Linked DNA regions of Schizosaccharomyces pombe. The protein of the gene in region 4 purifies or fractionates together with the protein of the main gene of each other region. This does not show direct contact. Each region holds a gene or a part of one and is shown on either strand. Other genes may lie near its edges. The genes, in order: sea2, npr2, npr3 and iml1.

Region 1 (7,743 bases), on a different chromosome or scaffold from region 4:
TCTACTTTGTTTCTTGCAAAACTGGTCTACCAGCATTTTCTTTTGTATACAAGCTTTAAAATTTTTATTTAATTTCTGACTTGAGTAAATTTTAAGCAAACAATTTTAACAACATCTCTAGTATTTCTGCAATTTTCAATGTACATACATTTTTTTTTTATAATATCTCACAAAACTATTTGTAAATACGTTTACCGACCTGCTTATCATTTAAGAAATTGAATACAAAAATAACAAAATAAATAAATAAAGTGTGCATTTTTATTAATCACTGATACTTCCATAACTAATTTTTGCAACATTTTTTTTTTTCTCTGCAGCTTTGTAAGGAAACGCTCATGAAACAATGAATTGTCGTATTGCTTTTTTAAGTCATTTGATACGACGAGAAATCTAGCAATACAGCACCAAACATAAGATTTTAAATGTGTTTTCAAACTACGAATCAAACTATAATTCAATTTATGTTTTAGTGTCGTAAAAAAAACATATCATTATGAATATTTAAAGCAAAACTTAAGCTTCTATATTTATACACATCTTTTACAAGACCTCACGTTTCACTCCTATTATGGATTCGGCAGATTTTACGAATGAATGAAAATAAATAAGTTATCAAAAAGTACAAGAAGCGAAGATATAAAGTTATACAATCTTCAATCTCTTTCCCTACACAAGACTAATACATATTTCCGGTCGGGTCCCTGCGTCTAGAAAATGCAATCTTCTCGGTTCCCTGTGTCGGCATATCAAAGCTTCCATACTGAAGACTATTTACGCCTTCTCGAAACTCACGCTGCTGCTGTGCTGAGAAAACACGAGGCTTCTTCTCTGCCAATTTAGGACCCAAACCACGAACTTTGCCGGGAAACATTTTCGCGGCATAGCGCGAAAAGGAGTGAATACTTCTTAAAACCTGTTCATCATTTCTCCGCTCAAATAAATCAGAAGTTTGAAACATATCTTGTGAAGGAACATGTACAACTTGCTGTGCATAGTTAATGAAGGCAGATATGTTTTCCATTTGGACAAAAGGCATGTTAGATTCTTTGTATCGAATGTTAGCGCCTAAAGCTTCTTTGCAAATTCTGCAAAGAATCACCCCGGATTGTAATTGATCCAGTAAGTCTAACTGAGCATTCAATTTCGTATGCAAAGTTTCTTCGATCCATTCTCTTGCTTCTTTTTCAAGTTGAGACGTCATTTCTCACGAAAATTTAAATAAAAATAAAGAAAAGTTCCAAGAAATTATATCACGGAACGCCCAATGACAGTTTGGTTTTTCAGAGGTGGTTAGTGAAAAGCGGCTTCGTATAAGCCTGACGAGTGCCATCTTAATTCAATGTGTAGCAACTGGACTTAATAGATCATTTAGCGTAACTCCAGCTACGCAATTCGTATCTGAGTTTAAGGTACAGTAGACTGCGTAAACTCTTTATCAGCAAACTAACTCTTGTACGGTAAACTGATGATTTGTTCTTACTAATTAGTACTATATAAAGTAGAGTCGAATTACTTTGCTTCACAATTCGTTTATGGAATGAAGACTTGTTTATTTAATTTCGAAAGCATCATTATATTACAAAATACAAACCGACAAGGTACTGCAAACCGCTTTTTCGATTGACACTGTGCAACTGACATTGGACTGACCGGCTTTGCTTACTTATATCGTCATATATAACATGTTATCTTCATATTTAATATTGTAGCTACTATAACTCTACGAAAGAAGCATTGAAAGATAAGCTCAACAGTACCATTCTTTAAATGTTGTAAATCAGCGTAAACGAAATTTTAAATCATAAGTCATGTATACGCGACAAATGCCATAGTAAAATGTGAAACCTATATAATGAACTCTACAGGAATGCAGTATAGCGTTACAGGATGCAATATTGCTGATTCATAGCGAGATTCAGAAGTAAATTCACAAAACCAAACTTACTAGAAGCAATAAGCAACTGAACTTCGTAAAAATAAATTATATTTGAACTTTTATTCTTTTGAAAACTTCCGATGTGTAATTGTTCTGATTGAATTTCCTCAATAATTGAAAATTCGAAAGCTCTTATTTGTTCACTAACATTGGACTTGATATTTACATTAGCAGAAACTTTTCTTACTGTTAGTTGCTCCTCTACTTTTCTACTTTATCTTTTTGGTTAATGTATCAAAACAAATAGTTTGATAAAGAATAGTCTACTTTTTTCTGACTTTTACTATTGAACGATCTTGCAACGTTAATTTTACCAATGTACGGTGAGTGTCACCATACTTGCATTTCACTTCAGCAATTTCTTTGACTTCCTGTCCGATATTTAAGAACTTGTTTCCTTTTCTGTATGCAAATTTCCTAAATCATTTTAGAAGGCATCAGCTGCTACTCTACCAGCTTCATTTTGTTTTCAAATTCGTAAATGCCTTCACGAAACTCAAACGTCCTTCAGCGACCTACTTATGCCCAACTTGCTAGCACATCTGTAAAGTCATCCAAAGGACTTGTTAGTTACCAAGACTGGGTTGTTGATGTAAAGGCCTCCATCAGTGCTATTTCGGTAAATAAAAGCCGTACAAAAGTGGGTGTAGCAGGCCGAGAGCTTCTAAAAGTTCTAGCTGTTAATCCAAACTCTTCAAAGCCTCCTGTTTGCATCTCTGACCTTCTACAAAAATCAACACAAACAAAGCACATCTCTTGCAATGATGTAAAGTGGGGTAGTAGTTTTGCTTCAAATTTAATTTTTACATGTTCACCGCTTGGTAATCTCAATGTATGGGATGTTAATTTAGAAGCCCTTCTCTATGACTTTAATGAGCATTCTCGAGCCGTACATAAATTGGATATCTCTTCATTTCACCCGTCTTACGTTTTAACAGCCTCTCAGGATGGGTTAATTAAGCTTTGGGATTACAAGGAAAGCTCATCAACAATCACTTTTCGTGGAAATTCTGAAGCTGCTCGAGACGTCGTATTCTCCCCTTCTGAGCCAAATGAGTTCGTTGCCGCTTATGACAGTGGGATCTTGCAAAAATGGGATATCCGGTTTCCAAAACTTCCTTTTTTAAAATTAGCTGCACATAATGGTGTTGTTTTGTGTGTTAATTATAGTCCTAATGGTGTTTTTTTAGCGTCATGCGGGAGAGATAAGACTATTCGTATTTGGGATTCCACAAGCAACAAAAAAAAGTCCCTTATAACTATCAATAATGTCAGTCCCCTCAATTGTGTTCGTTGGCGACCGGCTAATCAGCAATCGAGAGGTTCTAATCAACTTGCAAGCTCTTCTCTTGTAGGTGATACCGCAATAAATGTTTGGGATATTACTAGGCCTTATATCCCATACAGAACCGTCAGTTGTCATGATAGTATTGTTTCAACGATGCATTGGGCTTCTACAGAGCTACTCTGGTCTTGTAGTAAAGATGGAATTTTTTCTCAGACGAGAGTTGAAAATGCCTTTAATTGTATTGATATGCTTCCACGTGCAACTAGTTCATGGTCAACTAAAAATAGCCTTGTGTTCTCTTCAAATCCTATTTCTAATCAAAGATTGTCGTCGTTAAATCGTGTCGCATCTTTTGAGAGCAATATCAGCTCTTTAAAGTCCGCTTTATATGCCTCTCAAAATTCTGATGGGTCCACAAGTAATCCTGTTCCTTTTGTGCCTCACAATTTTGTTGGCATTCCTCAGGAACTAGGGATCCTTGCATATCGCTCTGAAGATGTTGCTCAATTTTGCTATTTAGCCAAAAATTATCGCATATCAGGAGATATCTCTTCTGCTTGTAAAGAGAACGCATTTTTTGCACGAAATGTTGGAGCTGAATTTGCTTATCAAATTTGGGATGCTTTGTATTTTTCACTAGGGGTACTTAACAATTCTGATAAAGGAATTAGTGAATTAATAAATATTCCTTTTGTTTCTGCTAACAATTCTATGGCTGATGATGAGAAAGGTCGAAATTTAAAAAATTTAACGCAAATTTCAACGTCCTCAACCCCCGCTCATGATAATTTATCATTAAATGATTTTTTTGAACCACGGGAAGCATCTACTCCTTCAGAATCCTCTAATTCATCTATCGAATCCGAGGACAATCTCGATAAAGCCGTCCTTAATAAGCAATCGCAATGGCATGATTTAGAAAATCCGATCGTATTAAAGAAAGGACAAGCACCGGTTAATAATTTTTCAACTGATAGCCGGGCAAGCATCAATTCATCCTATTTACTAGATTCTGCAGCATCAAATTATTCTGGTACGTCACATAACGAAATGTTCAATTCATTCCACAGAAGTTCTGTTACATCTGCTTCAATCAAATCGAGAGAAGCCGTATTGAGTGCTGGTAATTCTTCACGTCGAGCATCTATATTTTTAGACCAGTTATCATTACATGGAGATACTGATTCTGAAATTCCTATCGATGATCTACCTCCTATTGAACTTCCTTATGTTGTTACATCGATTATAAGCGACTGTATATCTCGAGGAGATGTCCAAACGGCAGCCTGCGTTTGTTCAGTTTTTTCATACCTAACTATAGATTTACCACGGATTCAATTAGACGATTTACTTGAAAGTTATGTTGATTTGTTAAGGAGATTCGGAATGTTCAGTGAAGCTACTCTCCTTATAAACATGTCTGGTTCAAAAAATCTCAAGTACATTCATTCAAGTAGTAGAGATTTGATTTTTGAAATGGAAAACAAAAAAGCAACCGGTAACGAGCAATCCGAAAAAGGTAAAGAAAATGCAAAGACCGTTACTAGTCTCAAAAAATGTGTTTATTGTGAGCTACCGTTAAGAGGCGTGCTCGTTTATCCTCCCGTTTGTGGCCACATCGGTCATGAAAGCTGTCTACGTTCTTGGTATTTTGATAATACAGACGATGCATTGCCAGTATGTCCAGTTCCCGGCTGCGGTGTCAAACTGCTAGATAAACGTGCTCTGATTTAAAAAACTATAATCTAACGCATATGTACTTGATGAAAAATTTGTATTACTATAAACTAATAATGATAATGTGGGATATTTTAAAAACCCATTTTTCTAGCTTTTTCACTAAATTCCATTTAACTAAAGCAAGATGTCATAAAGCACTCAAATTAGCAAAAATCAAAATATACATTAATTGCCCAAAATCCAGTTACGAAAATAAATAGCTCCTCATTCATGCAAATGCATCTGGCATATCTTCCTCTAATCTGTCATTCGTCTCCAGTTCAGTATAGCTTATTACATGAGTAGGTCTATGCTCTAAAGCAAAGAATGGCAGAGGGACATCAAGTTTTAAACTGTACGTCATTTTAGGACTGAAGCTTGCACCATTGAAATTATAATTCCATACGCCCTCTTCTGGTACCAAGAAAAATCCTTGAATTCTATCGGACAATAGCAGCTGACATTTTTCAGCCATAGAAGGTTCATACCCGATAGCTTCATCACTGTTGATATCCATGTTTTTTGATCCCCACTCAATTCCTTCCTTTGACACAGTATATGCAGCTAAGGATATCGAACCAGGAATGTAGCTCACTGTCAAAGTTACAGCTTTGGTATCCCATTCAGGATGAGAAGATAAAATTTTTGCATGTGTAGTTACATCGACAGATGATAAATAGGGAAGTTCAGAACTTTGAGTGTGTATCCAACCAAGGGGCTCAAGGTCTTCTAATATAGAAGGCTGAAGATCATGAGGCAGTTTAGAAGGAAGCTGCACATTTCTTATACTGCCAAGCTGTGGTACAAGTGCAATACAACGAATTTCCTTAATTTGAGGGTTGTCTGACGGACTTTTACCATACATATATCCGGCAACCTGTGTCCTTAAATCGGATATCGTAACAAACTTACGAAGCAGATTTTGAGGAAGAATGTATGTATAAGGAAAAGTTTCGCTGATATTATCAGAGTTAACATAAATGTTTTTTGTACGAAGGGGTAAACTGATAGATGATATGGCACGATTTCTCCATTCTGTTTTACTAGAAAACTTTTCATTTTCATACGCAGATGTTGTAGTAACCACCATTTCATCACCATGCACGTTAGTAGTTTTTGTGGTGACAGCCGTAACTTGGGCATTCTCACGGCCTTGCTTTTCTATTTCAGCTATCTGTTGACGTTGAAGAGAAGGAGCCGTTATTGTCATACCGAGAATAATATCTCGCACTTCCGAGTTCGTAAGACTAGCAACGTTAATATTGTTTTTCTTAGCATAATCAGCAAGGATCAAATCTCTAAGTTTCGGTTCAACATCAAGCCATTGTTGATCATCCAGGTTGGGCCACACGTGATTCTCTTTTGTAATTATAGACTTGTCTGGTCTAAGAATTAGCTTCGTTTTCTCAGTATTGACATTCAATGCGCGCAAGATAAGTATCAAGCGTGAAAAAGCTGTATACGATGATACCGATTGAAGCCAGTCATCATATAAATTGAAAAGTACCATTTGCGGTTCGGTGGCACGTAAAATCAAATCATTGATTTTATCAAGTTTAATAATCGCTTGGAAAGGAAGCTGTAATTCACTACCCTTAATGGTTATATTAGGAAAGTCCAAAAGATGAACTTCTAATGGATCCAACATGCCCTTTCGAGTTACTATAATCTGTCGAGGTTGTTCTTCAACAGGCAGAGAACGAATCAAAGCAGCAACTTCTTCAGCAGTCTTCCATTTCGCCAATTGTCCCAATCGTTTTTGTCCCGCCCAAACTGACGTATGAATAACTTTTAAGAACAATTGACCAGTTCTCGGATTGAATATAAAAATAGCACCATTAATGGGTTTCGTAGTCAAATTACCTTCAAATGTTTTATGAATGGTAACCCGATAAACATTAGTATCATCAACGAATAATTGAATTTGATTACTAAAGAGTTCAGCATAATTTGAGGAGGACAAATACTGCTCTTGGGGTTCAGAAGCATATAATTGAAGACCTTTTCGTATGCGTTCACGCAACACATATAAGGCTGGATTGGCTTTCATGATCTTGTTCATGCTCTGTTGAATTAATGGTTTCATACCAGGAATCCAGTTACCATATGCACTATGCATATTGTAACAAAGATCAATGCCGATTAAGACACCGGTCGGTGAAGGATACATGCTTTGAGCATCAGTGCTATAATCCAAAAATTTAGCTCTAGTATAACGTTCAATATCATGAGAATCATAATCTCCAAATCGAAGTTGTACATCAATCCAATATTTGTTGGTGGTAGTGTTGTCAAGCACATCGCGATTATCGTTCAATAAGGATGGCCTTGATACGTTCCATTTATAGGCAGCCAAAAGGAGGATATCTGCACAAGAACTATTCATTTTATAACTTTTACGAGGATGGATAGTTTCTTTTTGGACTGTTTCAATTTGCAATGACTCTAATTCTTGGTCAAGCACTTGACACAAATCCCAAACAACAGATTCATGAATTTTTTGCCATAAATGAGAACGAAAAATTTGAATGAGTGAAATCTTCAGGGTTGGAATTTTGCCATGCATCATGATTCCAGTCAAATCCAGTTGTACTTGAAATCCGACATAAACGTTAGCACGATTGATAGTGGGACTCCACCAAAGCGTAAATCTACGGTTAGGGATTTGATTTAAACCTGAACGCTGAGCATTAGTAAGCTTTTTGAACTTCATGGATTCTTCAAAACCAGATGCTTTTTCCCAAAAAAGACCTTCCCATGAAGGAAATCCAGTAGCTTTAAACATCGTATGCTCCAA
Region 2 (4,242 bases), on a different chromosome or scaffold from region 4:
TGAATATACTCAGAGGATTAATTTCAATGCAGCAGATATATATAGTAAATTTACGACGGTCCTTCGCGTTACGTTATGCTTAGTAAAATATAAACATCCTCTTCTGATTTCAAATTTCGTACTCGCTATTATGGATACGTTAAGCTGCAATACAGCCATGCAATGGCATAAACAAGTCGGAAAATGCGCGTTAGCAGTTGAAGTGCTATTATAAACAACGTATTAATAATGCTTGCAAGTATGTACCAAATATACTCTCCATTAAGCTGAGGATCTTTTTTTGTTGCGCCATATTTACGGAATTTTTGAACAATAAAGTAAAATAGAAATAAAATCTACTATTAACATTTATGAATTTATGATCAATGGACATACAGTAGTCGATGTTTACTGATGTATTGATGAAATTCAATTTTCATGGTAATCTTGTAGAATAAATAATTCTTTGTAGTAAAACAAATAAATGACGAAAATAAAGTGTTAAATACTTCTAATTAGGTACGCGATAACCAAAATTTAGATTCTTAAGTTTCAGCGTATAAACAAAAGGCACAATTACAATCGTTTTCCCTAACAGGCCAATTTACAGATAATCAACCATTGTAAATTGCAGTGTTTTGATAATATCTTCAAATTTATTCATAGTCATAAATATGATGCTAATGTATTCCAATCCTATACTTGACAATTTTGAAATTGACAGCAGAACTCGCAATGAAGATAAATTAAAACGACTATAGCTCCGATCATCCGAAAAAATAACAAGACTAATCGCAAGACTATTTTTTTTATTCATACATAAATAAAACAGGCATCACCCAATCCAGCAATCATTTCATTAACAACCTTTGGAGACTTTTTCAATGTGACACACAATTCATCAAAATGGTGCTTTCCATCCAGCAAACCAAGCAGTTTTTTCTCTTCTTCGGTTAAGTTATTCCTCATAGTCCTTCGTTCTAAGTATGGGTATTTATGCACACGATATATTAGCCCTTTTATAGTACCGAACGAGATTAGCCTTCGAACGTCTAAACCTTTGAAAATTTCTTTGTTCTCGTTCATCCAATCCTTAACACGAAGTCCTTGCCTTAAACTACAATACAGTTTGAAAATAGTAGCAAAAGTAACGTTTTTCGCATTAGAGCTGTTAGTTGATACATATGCCGTACATTCTCTTTGAAAATCTGGGTCTTGTAAAAGGTTAGGAGCATTAGTAGTCATAGCATAAATATTATGGAATTGAAAAATATCAGCTATAATTAGACAACCGTAATATAGAAAGTGTTCCATGCATTTTTGACAACTTCTATAGCTAACATTAGCTAATTCAGCAATCCTTTGAACTGAGTTTATGCCATTAATAAAAGGATAAACCTAAAAAATTAGTCAATTTTAATTTTTTTGGAAGAGAGTACCTTTTGAACAGTCATATCCCAATTTTTGTCCATGAGTAAATCCAACTGAGCCGTTAAAATTGGTACATGAAAACTTTTAACAGTAGGAGGAGAAGGAAAAACGGGAAAAAGCTTGATATTAATAGAATTTTGGTCGTCTTAGAAAGTTAGTTAAAGTCCGAATGAAATAATTGCGCATACCTAGCTGTATCATACACTCACAAAAGTTGTTCATGTCCTCCAAAATTTGCTCAATTACGCTGAAAATTACAGGTCTTTTGTTCAAATCAGATATATAATGAATTTGCTTTTCTAAGACCTCTAAATTTCTCGCTAGTCGCTTTACTAGTGGTATATAACATGCTGAATCTTCTTCTTCATGAAAAATCATACACATGTTGAAAATCAAAGCATTTCTCTCATAATTGCTACCTATAATTGATATTGGATGTCCAATGACTTGATAATGATTAGTACAAACAGTAATTGTTTTGTTGCAAAGTTCGCGTTTCGGAATCACATAGTCAGAAATAGTTTCGAATGGTAAAAGACAGTTCTTTCCACCATCAACATTTGTTACCGATCCAGCAGGAGCTTCACAAGCTACTATAGGGCCTTGTAAGGGATCAAATAATGCAAAAAATATTGCCAATAAACGAGGCGGAAAGCTGTCAGCTTGATCCATCCATCCCTCTTCAGAATACTCCATAGGAAAGCTAAAGAATTTAAAAATTTCCGAGTTTTTTATCTAACCTTTAATTTATGAAGCTAAAACTTGTAAGATATTTATTTTAATATTTCGTTATGCCCCTACTGGTGGATGCAAAAGCTTATGTGCAAGTGTCGATTTGGGGACTAACTTCAAAAACCATATAAATCTTTGTACGCTACCCAGAAAAGTAGTTGTGCTAATGAATTTATTATTTACAAACAATATTCAGATTTCTGCATTGATGTAACGGTAAGATGGAAAGTCATATAACACTTGTGTACATTGGGTCAGTAAATTATACAAATTTGATTCTTAACGTCAAAGCTTCCTGACTACAGCCACATTTCGCTACATCATTAATGTTAATAAGGTGATAAAAATCATATCTGTATTAACATTAAGGATTATTTCGTATGGATAACAGATGCTAGCAGCCTCTAGGGTTAAAAGATTTTAAAAAAGTATAAAACTTGATTTTCTTAATCTTTTTGCTTGATAACTGCGCTAGTAATATCCAGTATACACAGTAATCATATAAAAATAGTTAATCTTTGAAACGATAGTTAATAGACTTCAGTCGGATAAATCAAATTTTTACTGAACAGGAAGTTTTAATAAAAGTATTTGTGTTATTTTTACGCTAGAATTCAAATACTAAAACTAAATTTGTGTAAAGCAGTATTATTACAACTTCTGCTTAATTCTTAACGTAAGCTTTCGCTTAACTTAAACCTAAATAAAAAGATCACAAAACCGCTAGATAATTGTAAAACCTTTTATCCATTCACTGAGTCAATTATTTGTCCATATATAAATCTAGAGAGAGAGAATTGTTTTGTTACTATAATTGATTTCCTATCTTTTCAAACATTTGAAGATATAAATCGCTAGTTTCCACAGAAAATTAAAATAATGAGGCACCAAGCCATATTGACTGTATAAAAGATAAATTAAGGAGATACAGTGGAAAATTGTGATTGAGCCAGTGAATTTTTTCGCTGTTAGAAAGCAACGAAAAATACGTCAAATCATTGAAACTTCAATTAGGCATAAGTGCATGAAAGCTCGATAATTGTTCGAGTTGTTTAGCTTAAAACGAATAGATTAAAGTGCGAAAAGAGCGGATGCGTTTAATTTTTAGGATATTTGGTTTCTTTTAATGAGCTTTAGTTCATTCTTACTATATCGTTTTGTAAATAAACAGGTTCTGCCTGGTTTTCTCCTTCCTATTTTTTATAAGCAATATATCCTTAGAGTTTTCATAAACTTGACAACTTAACAAAATTAGTTGCTTGAAGTTTGAAGGGCCTCCGTTAATGGCTTTTTTTTTGTTTTTAATTTGATACGCTTCACTTTCAAGTTGATCATTATAACGTACCTCAGTGAGATAAAGACTGACGAGTCATCCAGCTCTAGCTAAGTATACTCGAGATATTTTATTGCAATATCTAATAATCATTTAAACAAAACTTGAATAATTCTGTTAAAATCGCAATTCATAAAACTGTTATGTAATTGTCATCGCTTATACATTAGCTTGTGATATTTACGTGTTTATCCGAGTGCACTATACATTAAAGGCACTACCACACCCGGCCAAATTGAATGTTTTGGGATTTTAAACATCGAATTGAACAGTCTGTTACAAATTTTAGAGAAACAACTTATGAAGCTTTTAGCCGATGTAAATTATTCTTGAAGACACTTCCAAAAACATCAATTTTTTTTTTTGACAGTAATTATACTAGAATGCCTTTTGATAATATGTTTTGAAGGATATTGTATCGGACAATTCCGTACTGTGGAATTGCTAAAGAATCTTGGAATTGACAGTTTGCCTATTTCATTAACGCTATTTATTTTTGCATGCTTCTTTATATTATATTTATGCGTAGAAGCTTTAAGTTCAAAAAATATAATTGAGGTACGTGAATTTTAAGCTATCCGTTTTTATCAACTAGAAAAAGCAAGCGGGATTTAAGTTTAATTCTTAAACAGTGCTAACATCCTTAGATCATCGGATTGCTATGCATTCATGTCGCATTATTTATTTATTCCATTGTTCAAATTTCAGAATTAGCAGAGATTCAGAAAGTTTTTCTTTCCAAAACACAATCCTCTCTTAATCCTATA
Region 3 (4,503 bases), 360 kb from region 4:
ATCAACCAAGTAATGTCTTTTAAACTCCACGTAAGGCATCAAGACCAGCAAAACTGGTACGCCCTTATCTTTAGAAACAAACCTTGCGAGCGCATATCGGTGTTCACGTTCAAGGGATTGAACAAAGGCAGAAAAATTTAATTTGCTTTCGAAGTCATCTTTTGGAACGATTATATTAGTATCACTAATGGTATAATAAATTGGAAGACTAGATTTAGGAATAAATCCAAGGATTTCATAACCGGGTATTGTATCTAAAGCCAATACGTCTTCATCTGATCGGCTGATCGGGACGATTGTCCTACCATAACTATAACCGCTTTCCAAGTCTTCTCTTTTAACCTCAAAAGAATCGTTTGTTTTTGGATCACGAACCATGTACGATCGAACAGTAGACACTGCATCAGATTCCATACTTTTGTTTTCCACATTTGAATTTTCGATATTAAGACATTCATAATTTTTAGACATATCGTTTTCATAAAAAGCAGATGATGTTGGCGGTTTAGTTAAACGAGTTCTAGGATATCTTTCAACCTGTATGCTTATAGACGTATCTTTGCTGTCTCTATTACCAATACTAAATGTACCTCTAAAGATTGCGACAGGTCTCACTTTACGAACCCAAGGTTTACCGATGTTGTTATAAATCTGTTGAAATGTGCAGTACTGACCATGACAACTCTCAACAAACTCTTGAATTCGAACTTCGTTTTCCTTTTTCTGAGATTCCTTTAAAGGCTCAGAATAATTAATATCTTCTTGATCAAAATCAACTCCATAAACACCTAGAAAAACATCATGCTGCAGTAGTTGTTCGGCAATTCCAATGTAATCACTAAAGTCGATAATCCCCCTAGCTGCCGTAAGCACTATCATCTTCTTCTTCCATTTGTTCTTTTTACAATGCCGAGCCATCAAATCAAAGGACACAACTATTGCAGATATCAGATCGCCTTGCATAGTATTGCTTGGTTTTAACGTTTGAGAAACGGATTGTAGCTTTGAAAATAAGGCACTAGTTAAGAAGTTAATGGAGCATTTAAGAGAAAGCTTACGTTTGTATAGGATACAAAACACTGATATTCCAATAGGCTTCCTGCTCAGCTAAATCATTTTTCGTATCTAAACACCGTAAAAGTTAGAAGTAGTGTACCTTTAAAACATTACAATAGAATACCATCGCATTTGTAACCAACGATTCCAACTACGTCTGTCTTCCTATTTGCTAAAAACTGAGTATGTGTCAATAGGGTGTCGATAATGTTGAGCAAAATACCTTATGAGACAATTCGTCGTGAAAATACGACAAAGTCCATTCGAGATCAGAATGAGACCTGCCATGGTGACAGGTCCCCATATCTTTGCCCAAGTCAAGTACAAAAACAGTACATTCCTTATCACTCATACGAATTGTTAAGGAATACAGATTTGGTGGAGGTCAAAGCAAGGTGAGATTTGTTGTAGAACATTGGGGCCTCCGATGCTTTCAACAGTTAGATATCAATTACACGGTCATTTTAAATGATTCAGGTATTTTCTTCGCGGTATGAATATACTACATTAACAGTAAGTCCAGCAGCATATGTGCAAATGCACATGTGACTGAAATGTAAATAACCCAAAACATTGTATATAAATTAGTCAATTCATTTTTATAACTTAAATCAGAAACTCTTGAGAATTGAATTGGAGCTATTAAAGTTGCTAAGGTTTTACGCACATTAGAAATTTTGCATAGCGATGCTTTTACTTTCAATTCACACATTAATTTACAAAGCCGTGAACTCATATCTCAAGATGTCAATAATTAGTTAACATTCAGTTTAACTATTCATGTTAGATCTTATTAGTTTTGTACTAGGCGATTAAAACACCGAGCTGCCAGATGCATATCGCTCACAAATCTTTCGTACTACACGCAAATTACCAGAAAACGATACCACCCCCTTGAGGTATAATGTTTAAGGTGATATTTGGTTTTCTGTTGTGAAAAATATATTAAAAAACACACATATGTACTTCAATTATCGAACATACACATTTATACTTTGTTTTAAAACGCCAAAATGGTACGCTTAACTCCTCGATTAGTAGCCATTTTCCTTGTTGAAAAAACAACATCAGGAGCTAATTTCGTCTTTCACTGGCCGCTACAACCTCAAGTACGTCTACAAGCCACTCATCATAATAATGATTCAGCGGAGTCTGCAATCGGGATGCTCGACCTTGATGACAGCGATGATGATGAGAATAATAGGTTTACTGAAGTAGCTGACGATACACATGTACTTGGTTATGAAAAAGGCTTTCTCGCAAATATGCTAAGTCCTCGTATTGAACTTTGCAATCAAAAATTTGAAATTTGGGTGGATGGTCTTACTTTTTTGGGATGTCCTGTTCATATTGGTCCGAACGGTGAGTGGGCTAAACGAAGGAAACCACGAACTACTGTTGAGTCTAATGCTTCTTCGAGCCATTTGGTATCAAAGCCCGAATCTTCACACCCTTCGACAGGAAGTTTTGAAGTAAAATCATCTTCATCAAAATCGAGATCTTCAATGTCTTTATTTCATGTCGTCTTTGTATTAAATGTGCCTACAGCTACCGTATATCGCCCTACTGTAAACACGATGTATGATCATATAGTAGTCAAGTTAGTTACTGGACTTAAATATGAACAAGCAAAACGGAATTATGTTGAAAATGAGTGTATACACATCTTAAAACTGACTGAAAAATATTCAAGCCAAAACGTCCCATTCGATGTGTATGCCGCTCAAATCCCTCATCACTCAAATCTTGCTTCGGTTCTTGCTACTACATATGAGGCTTTAATTAACATGCATACGGCTTATTTAGAGATAAATCAATCGATTAACTTAAGCTTACTCTGGCCTATGTCGGTTTCCACCAACACACTTGAAAATTACGAACTGCAGGTTAGACCATCAACTATTTTAGCATCTCAAACCATCTTCTCTGAAGAACATCCTTCCTCTATTGAACCTTTCGTTGCCCCCTATTGGACTTTGTTGCTCTTAAAGGATACAGACACTATAATGAAACGTGTTCCTCTTTTACAAAATTCTCTTCTTTCTTCTTTCATTGCCATAGTAAAACCTAACTTAACGTAAGTTTTGTCAAGTCTAAACAAAATTTATTATTGCTATTAAATACTAACTTACAATATTTCAGGTTCACAGATATCGCTAATCGTCTAGGAATATCAGTATCAGAATGCTTTATTCTAGCAAAACACCTTATTCATTGGAGAAAGGCTATCGCTATTCCTCCTTTGTTAATCCGGAATACTTATGTTACATCCCCAACTGCTAATCTGTTTAATTTGGAGGAGGAGTCAAAGCTTTTTAAAAAGGAATTTCCGAGCCTTCCCTCACTGTCAACATTTTTAGCTATTTTGTCGTTTAAACCGCGACCATTTGCCTCCATTATTCCATCGAAAGATCATGAGTTAGTTTATTTGGAAATGCTTGCTTGGCTGTGTCGAAGAAATTGGGTTTATGAACAGAATATCTATATGTATATTCTCGTTCCAGAAGAAATTAAGAAAAAAGCGATTGCACTAATAGAATCTGATGAGTCTTCTAAAAATGACATGCAGCTTAGAAAGCAACTTGAACAAGATAATGGCAAAGAGTCTATTATCATTGATCCGCACTCTGCCTCTTTGCTTGAACAGAAATGGATTCAAATTATAGCTTATGAGAGGGGACCAGAAATGGCTCCATTGTTTACGTCAATTGTCAAATATTTAAATGGTAGGTTTGCTTTACAAACTATATGGGTTGCCGAAGGCTTACCAAGGAAACTAATGCGAAATATTCTTAATGAGTATAATGATTACATCCTTCGATGGCATTCTTGGTGAAACTACGAAAGTATAGCTTGGACTAGCTTATTAATATTTAATCAAAATTTAACACACCAAATATATTACCATTGTACGATATTAGTAAATTAATTATTAGAAAACGTCTTTGAAATCAAGTCATGACAAATACCTAATTATACAACCTATTCCATCAAGCTTTTTTTATATTTTATAGAAGACCCCATCTTTAAAAAAAGTAGATTATACTTTTTGATAAGCAATAATTCCCACATTTTCGTCTAAAATTTCAAGATCTTCTTCAAGGAACCATTTAGGCATACAATAAGTCCTAAATGGAATCAGTAATAAAATAATAATAGGGAAACCAATGGATGCTTTATCAACCTGAGTAATTGCAAAGGTAGCACCAAAACCTATTAATTGCAAAATAGTGTATAACCAAACTACGCGTTTTGAGCTACAGTGGTTTAAAGTATGGTTTTTAGATACCACCTTTCTGTCACTTAACATCCAGATTACGTTTTGAGTGATACCGTTGCCAAATATTGCTGAAAACCCCATCACCTAAAATTCAGTTAGCAAAATATAATCTTCCCTTCAAAAAAAAAAAAAAATACCCAAAATAATCCTGCTAAAACACATTGAGG
Region 4 (7,262 bases):
ATTTGTGGTGATATCCATGGCCAATTGCATGATTTACTGGAGCTTTTTCGAATTGGTGGGTCATGTCCAGGTACAAAATATTTATTTCTAGGGGATTTTGTTGATAGAGGGTTTTACTCTGTAGAAACATTTCTCCTGTTATTGACTTTAAAATGTAAATATCCGAAAGAGATGACCCTTATCCGGGGAAATCATGAATCACGACAAATAACACAAGTTTATGGATTTTATGACGAATGTGTAAGGAAATATGGTTCTGCCAATGTATGGCGATATTGTTGTGAAATATTTGATTATCTTTCGCTTGGTGCTTTGGTGGATGGAAAGGTTTTTTGTGTGCACGGTGGACTTTCACCAAGCATCAGCAGTATCGATCAGGTATGTTATTAATTCCGAAAATTTGAACTAAACTTTTAACGCTTTTTATGAAGATTCGACTGTTGGATCGAAAACAAGAAGTTCCGCATGAAGGAGCAATGTGTGATCTACTTTGGTCAGATCCAGAAGATATTAGTGGATGGGGTTTATCTCCCAGAGGTGCTGGATTTTTGTTTGGTGCCGACGTTTCTGAAGTTTTTAATCGCGCTAATGACCTTTCATTCATTGCTCGTGCTCATCAATTGGTTATGGAGGGTTACAAAATCCATTTTTCCGATAAAGATAAACAGTATCCCAAATTTACAAATGAAGAGGACTCTGAGCTGGATTCAGATTCTGCCTCACCTGTTGATGATTCTCCGGCACCTGGAGACATAATAACCATTCCAGAAAAGGATAAAGGAAGCGTGGTTACTGTTTGGAGTGCACCCAATTACTGTTACAGATGTGGAAATGTTGCTTCTATATTACAACTTGATGAAAACCAAACGCAATCCTTTAAGATTTTTGGTACTGCCTCTCAAGAAAGATCTGGCATTCCAACAAAACGACCCATTGCCGACTACTTTTTATGATTATTCAAAATTCATTGCTCTACTTCACTTCCCCAATATCATGTATATAGGTCAACTTGTACTAAAGATTATCCCCTTAACTCTTCTTATTGGTCTCTCATTTTTAATTCTGCACTTATTTAATTCTTGTTTATGGAATTTGGTTATTTTAGCAATATTGATTTGTTTAGGACATCATAAATTTAAAAAGTAATTAAGTTAAATTTTAATTGTAACTTTTTTAAGCTAACTTTCAACGCACAAGATTGTTTAGTCGCTTTCTGAAGGTAATTTAAAGTAGATTGCAAAATGCTCGGTTTTCAAACATTAATCCTCATTTGATCGAACTTCAAACCTGAATTCAGAAACTGGGGTGATGAATATCATTTTTTAAGCTTAATGCTGAAAATTTAATATTACATTATTGAGTCAGCTGGTTTGAGTCTTTGTAGTTTAGACTGCACCCCAATTCAACAAATCCGTTAGCCAAAAAATGAAATAAACAATTGGAATTCAGCCTCTGTTTCAATCACTGAATTGTAATCTAATATCATATATTGAAGTCAATAGAATAAAGTCAATGATATACGAGGTATAAACGTAAGAACACCTACATCTTAAACATTCGATATGATAGAAACATTTTTTTCAAATAAATTCTAAGTAATACAGTATCACAAAAAAAAAAAAAAAAAAGATAACGAAGTGCTTGCTGGTATATTAATGATTGTGTCTTAGACAATCAAGTATTCGTGCAAGTAGTATACATTCTGCCTTAAATTAAATATTTAGTCATGAGTCATATAATATACACAATTATGCTCTACCTTTATAAATGCAACATTTACTATTTGATTTTATGATAAGAGTAACCTGTGTTTACTAGTGCAATTTATCTTGGTGTTATACTGGATTTTTGCAGCTCTACCCCAACATCCGCCTAATCAAAATCAAACGTATAAAGTTGTGTAAAGAGATTATTTACTTCTTTTTTTGATACAATTCTTGTATTTAATTTTTTGATTACTGCCTTAATGGCGTAGGTTGTTCAATTCATGAAATGGCTATTACCTTGAACCTGTGGACGCACGAATCATCATTGTTTCCAAACGATGCAGTCTTAAATTATGATTTAGTACCTTCTGCTAAACCTGGTGATATTTTTGAAATAAGGGCCCAAAATGGTGATGAAATCGCTTTACAGCATAATCACTCAAGCACAGGGAAACTACATGCTAAACGTGAAAAAGAACCAGTATATTTGATGCCCTCCCCTTTAACAGATGATTTAAAGAGGCGACATCCGAATCTGCAACTTTCAGTTGTATCTCACATAAGCTCTTTGCTCAATATAAAAAATCGTGAACCGGTGGTTGTCAAAATTTGTGAAGACAAAACTAATTTAGAAGCCGAACATGTGGTAATTTTTTTTCGGGACCAATTTATATCTAGAAGCGATATGTGGAAGCTTTTTAGAGAATTATGCGGTAAATGCGTTTATCTAAAACAGCGTGTTTCCTTTATAGGAGATGTGCCTGGAGAAATTAGATGTATATGGAGAAAAGGAAAAAAATGTCATTCAGCGTACATTTCAGAACGCACTAAGCCAATTTTTCGGTCTGAAAGTGCCAGATTTCTAATTTTTATTCAAATGAGTGAAGAGATGTGGCACTTTGAAGAAGATGGAGAGCTCAATTATAACAAAGCAATAGATGGTTTTCTTCCTGATCTTTTTTCTTTTTGGAGAGACTTAGGAACTCATCATTTGGTTTCTATAATTTTGTTTACTCGTGTCGAGTACAGCCACCATGGGCCTATGTGTGTTTGGCAACCAAGGTCTCAAAAAAATAGTGAAAAAGGAAGTAGTATTTATCCACAAAATTCTTTCAATGCTTCTATTGATAACGAAGGTGGTCCTTACGAAGATTTTTTCAAGGTGGTGGTGGATAATGTTTCTAGCAGAGATTGGCAACCTGTTTTAGCAAATTTGAAACTAGAACTTGCAAAATTTCGACAAGATGTCATTGTTAGGAAAATTAAGGATGAAAATGGGAGAGAAATTGAGTATATATGCGGAAGGATGACAGGATCCCAAGAAGGCAACTTTTTGGAAGTCATTAATATGGCTGTCTTTCAATTTCAGTCAGATTATATCGACAGAGATTTATCACGTACTGGTACTAGTATCATAATAGTTACCCCAGGAACTGGTTTATATGAAGTAAATGAAAAAATGCTACACTTGACTTCTAAAAGCTTACTCAATACCGTTGTTGGTATGGATATCGTATCCTTAGGAAAAGTTCCTTTATTTCTAACGCCTATTGTTCGATACAAAAATCCGGTGAAAAACAAAAAAAGATCCCAACTAACCAGCAGAATTTCTTCTTCCGTTTCCCCTTCTAATGTAATACCAAATTCCTTAACGTCATCAGTTTCAAACTTCTCAGTGTCTTCCTTTTTGAATAATTTAAAGGAGGATACCGAATGGTTATATACATTTCCAATTGGCTGTAACATTAGTTTTTACAGTACTACGGAAATGAGGTCCTTACGTTCTCCTTGGGAAAATTTAATGCGAGAACATCAATTTGAGCCTACTGCAAAAATGCATGAATTACAAATGATGGGTGTACTGGAAGCCGAAAGTGCCAAAATTTCGATTCCATTATTACAGTCTGATCCATTGTTGAAAGGGTCTGTGTTCAGTGAAGAAGTGCAAGAAGATTACGATGAACGGCAATTTACTGGTGAGGCTGCTGTTAGTGCAAACGATGTTTTGAGCTCATCATCTCCTCGCCATTTCTCATCTCATACACCCGTTAATGTGGACAAAAGTTCTTACCTTGAGATGAATGGGCATAGTCTTTCTACAGTAATTTCAGGGAAAGAATCGATATCTAGTTTTGGAGCTAAAGTTGATGATCTTAAAAGCACCAGCAAAGAGTCGGCAAGACAGTTTGGTAAATCTGCCCTCACCGAAAGGCTACAGAAATTAGCTGGTAACTCTAGCAATGTATCGTCTTCCTTACAAACGTCTTCATCTAATAAGTCTTCACTTCTTACCAAAAAGTCTTCCTTTCCGGCTTTATTAAAAGGTTTCTTGGCTCTCCCCGCTACGGTTACTACTTCGGCAAACCCACTTGGTTTCAAATCTACAATTCAAAGACCTATTCCGATCAAAAATAATGAAGATAGTGATAGTTGCAAGGCTTTTAGTCAAGCTCCTCCAATAGCGACAAAAAAGCCCCCAACGTTTTTAAAGCCCAACAGTCCTGAATATGCTAAGACTGTAATTCCGAAAAGTTCTACCAATTTAGAGAATGAATATCAAACACCATGGAAGATTATTCAAAATCCTTTTAAACTGAAAGAGACAACTGCTGATAATGATCCCGTTTCTTTAAGATGGGAACATCTCTATATGAAAGTGCAGGATGTTAGGAAGTTTAATTGGCTTTCCATGTGTACTCCTGGTGCGCTTCCGTTAACTTTTAGTTACTTCCCTTCTGAAGAGGAATTGAATGATAAATTTGAGGAATACACATACACAATTGGAATCGATCCTGAATTTACTCAAATGAATCAACAGGAATTACTTGCTGAGATGATTTGTCAAAGATTATCACGTGGATATCAAATTGTGGTTAATCCAGCTGCCGCGGTCTCTTATAGCGGTAATCCCAAGGCCAATAAGGCAGGAACGATTACCGATTTCTCTCGCTCTGTAAATAATCAAAGAAATGGGCATTTAACAGTAGGCAGTGATGCAGTTTGCCTTTCTCTAGGCGATAGTCAGTTCCACAGGCTTTCATGTGATTCAGTAGGATACAATATTGAAGTAAAGCGTTATGTCAAAAAGGTTTCTGGTCAAGGTAAAATGAGATACGATTATAATTTTTGGTCTAAAAATGAATGTAAATATGTCAAGTCTAATATCACATTTTCTGCCAATGATTCCGCAAATTATAATTGGAATTACGTCGATCAATTAATATGTGGATTTGAGACTTATTTACCCGACTCTGTTAAATATTGGCGAGCCCGTTTTGTGTTGTTACCAATGTCTACTACATCAACACATGTTTTTCAAAAGTATCAATTGCTGGATCATGCGGATGCTCTAAGCGATGAAGAATTTAGAGTTGAAGGTATTTACAAGCTAAGTGAACTTTTGTATAAAGGAAAAATTGACCCCATGAATGACAGCAATAATAAAACACCGAATACTTCGCCTGCTGAACTTCTAGGAATCAAATTTACAACTTTACCAATGGCTCAGTATATTCACTCTGAATTAGAAGCGTTGCGATTGGATTCTTCTAGGAATGAACAATCATTGTTTATGCCTAATAAACGATTAGATTGCTCTGCTGACCTTCATACCATCGCTAAAGAAATTCAAGGGCCTGGTGGTCCTAAAATTGACGATATTACATGGCATTACAGAATTTATGAGAATTGTTTTCTTGGGAGTGAATTTGTTTCCTGGTTAGCTAATACCTTCATTGGTATCAATACTAGAGAAGAAGCTCTTAAATATGGAAATAAGTTGTTAAGCCTAGGACTCTTTGATCATGCATTAAAAAAACACCCTTTGTTAGATGGCTACTATGTTTATCGAATTTCACCCGATTACAGTATCAAACCTGTTTCAAACAGGCCATATCGTAGTTGGTTCAGTCGAAAAAAAGATTCAGGTCAAAAACATTTAGATAATAAAATAATAACAGAATCAGAAGCTGGTCCTTCTCGGTTAGAGTTGTCGAGACGCATTTTGTTTAATGCAGACGTTGAGAAAAAAAATGGGAAATCCGAAACAGTGACCGTCCATTACGATTTGCTTCATAATCCTGCCTCATGTTATCATATTCGCATTGAATGGTTATTGGCTACAGCAAGTGTTATCGAGAAGCTCCTTCAATCTTGGTCACGGATTTTAGAGCGTTATGGCTTGAAATTAGTGGAAGCTCCAATTCATGAAATTGCAGCCGTCGGAGAACTTAACCCCTTTGACCAAGTCTCGATCATTTCACTAGCGTTAGATCCTCCACCTATTCCTGAACGAGCGCCTCTGGTAAATGATCCAGTGAACTATTCTAAGAATTGGTGGAATGTTAAAATTCTTGAGCACTTTGATTTTATTTTAGACACCGAAGCAGCTAGTACGTTTCCGAAATCAATTACCGCAGTTTATTCTTGGGGAAAACCTAACTTTCGTTACGTACAATACATACACAGAACAGGAACTGTGCTAGTTCAAATTGATGATGATCAACGATTTTTGTGGCTTCCAAATCGCCTTCATAACTCAAAGGTTAGCAAATTGAGTTTCACCAAAAGCAACAAAAGCACTTTGAATCCTAATTTGAAAGAGACTGCTGAAGAATTAGAGCGTAAATTTAGGGAATTTTGCTCAAATAAAGATGAGCTGGATCAGTTTTATGGTATTGTGAATCATGCAAGTGATGATCGTCGTAGTATTTATTCTTCAGCTAGTACTCATGCTTCAAATGCTTCAGCAGATGATGCCTCTAATGTTAACGTATAATTATAATCAATTTCATTTTGACACGATTTCCATAACCTTTTTTTACCTTATTAGATTGTTATTACAGTTTTTATATACTTTAATATAGTCAACGTTTATGAATAATTTACTAAAGGTTATTTTTTTTGAGACTACATTTGGAATATACAAATTGTTCGGTATAGCTATTCAAAATTGGATTCAATCAATGATTAAAATTGATGATCTCAGGTTACCTAAATATCCATACATATTTATCTTTGGGGTTTTTTTTTTGAATTAAAAGATCATTTAAATTATACTTTTCATTTATTAAAATAAAGTATATATATTCAGTAACATTATTTGTCTAAAGCGGTTGAAGCTCACTAGTCATGTAAGAGCAAAAATTCATGTTGAATGAATAAATCATAAAATTGTTGAATATTTAATCATCTTTTGCACCGCTGGGACCATCAAAAGATTGTAAAATTTTTAAGGAATTGACGATTCTTCGAGATAAAGCGCTACAGCTGCCATCTACTTGAACAACGCGATAACTTAAATCTATGCCGAAGCTATACTTGATGATAGAAGTTAGTTTTCTAGCAGAACCTTCAGAAATATCGCACAAGGACGCATCACCATCATGCGGTGTTATATTAGGGTCACAAAATTTAATGGATTTAAGTAAATATGCTGAAACTTCATCCACGTCGGTAGTATTCATTGAAGTTGCAGTGATCACGAAAGGTTCTGTTTTTGCCATAACTAAATGCTTTCCCCCATAATGATAACGGAATTCAAACGTTCCGGTTTCC

The links.
Region 1: the proteins of iml1 (region 4) and sea2 purify together in Schizosaccharomyces pombe (affinity purification with western blotting, with the first as the bait; one study listed by BioGRID). This does not show direct contact.
Region 2: the proteins of iml1 (region 4) and npr2 purify together in Schizosaccharomyces pombe (affinity purification with western blotting; one study listed by BioGRID). This does not show direct contact.
Region 3: the proteins of iml1 (region 4) and npr3 purify together in Schizosaccharomyces pombe (affinity purification with western blotting; one study listed by BioGRID). This does not show direct contact.

Annotation. Positions count from the first base shown.
Region 1 is NC_003424.3:2,655,262-2,663,004, reverse strand, and holds sea2 (SEACAT complex subunit Sea2), read left to right. Parts: upstream 1-1,949; 5' UTR 1,950-2,420; coding exon 2,421-4,961; 3' UTR 4,962-5,175; downstream 5,176-7,743. Other genes in the region: SM22/transgelin-like actin-modulating protein Stg1, read right to left, coding at 680-1,204; U5 snRNP complex subunit Spp42, read right to left, coding at 5,176-7,743.
Region 2 is NC_003424.3:2,495,321-2,499,562, forward strand, and holds npr2 (Npr2/3 complex subunit Npr2), read right to left. Parts: upstream 2,243-4,242; 5' UTR 2,107-2,242; coding exon 1,599-2,106; intron 1,556-1,598; coding exon 1,419-1,555; intron 1,378-1,418; coding exon 793-1,377; 3' UTR 524-792; downstream 1-523.
Region 3 is NC_003423.3:4,303,960-4,308,462, forward strand, and holds npr3 (Npr2/3 complex subunit Npr3), read left to right. Parts: upstream 1-1,901; 5' UTR 1,902-2,069; coding exon 2,070-3,133; intron 3,134-3,198; coding exon 3,199-3,892; 3' UTR 3,893-3,968; downstream 3,969-4,503. Other genes in the region: Ku domain protein Pku80 , read right to left, coding at 1-1,018, 1,059-1,125, 1,181-1,235, 1,280-1,408; bor1 (HC03 family inorganic anion exchanger), read right to left, coding at 4,097-4,420, 4,474-4,503.
Region 4 is NC_003423.3:3,948,406-3,955,667, reverse strand, and holds iml1 (GATOR1-SEACIT GTPase activating complex subunit Iml1), read left to right. Parts: upstream 1-1,858; 5' UTR 1,859-1,992; coding exon 1,993-6,483; 3' UTR 6,484-6,758; downstream 6,759-7,262. Other genes in the region: pph3 (serine/threonine protein phosphatase), read left to right, coding at 1-378, 432-953; phosphatidylethanolamine N-methyltransferase Cho2, read right to left, coding at 6,890-7,262.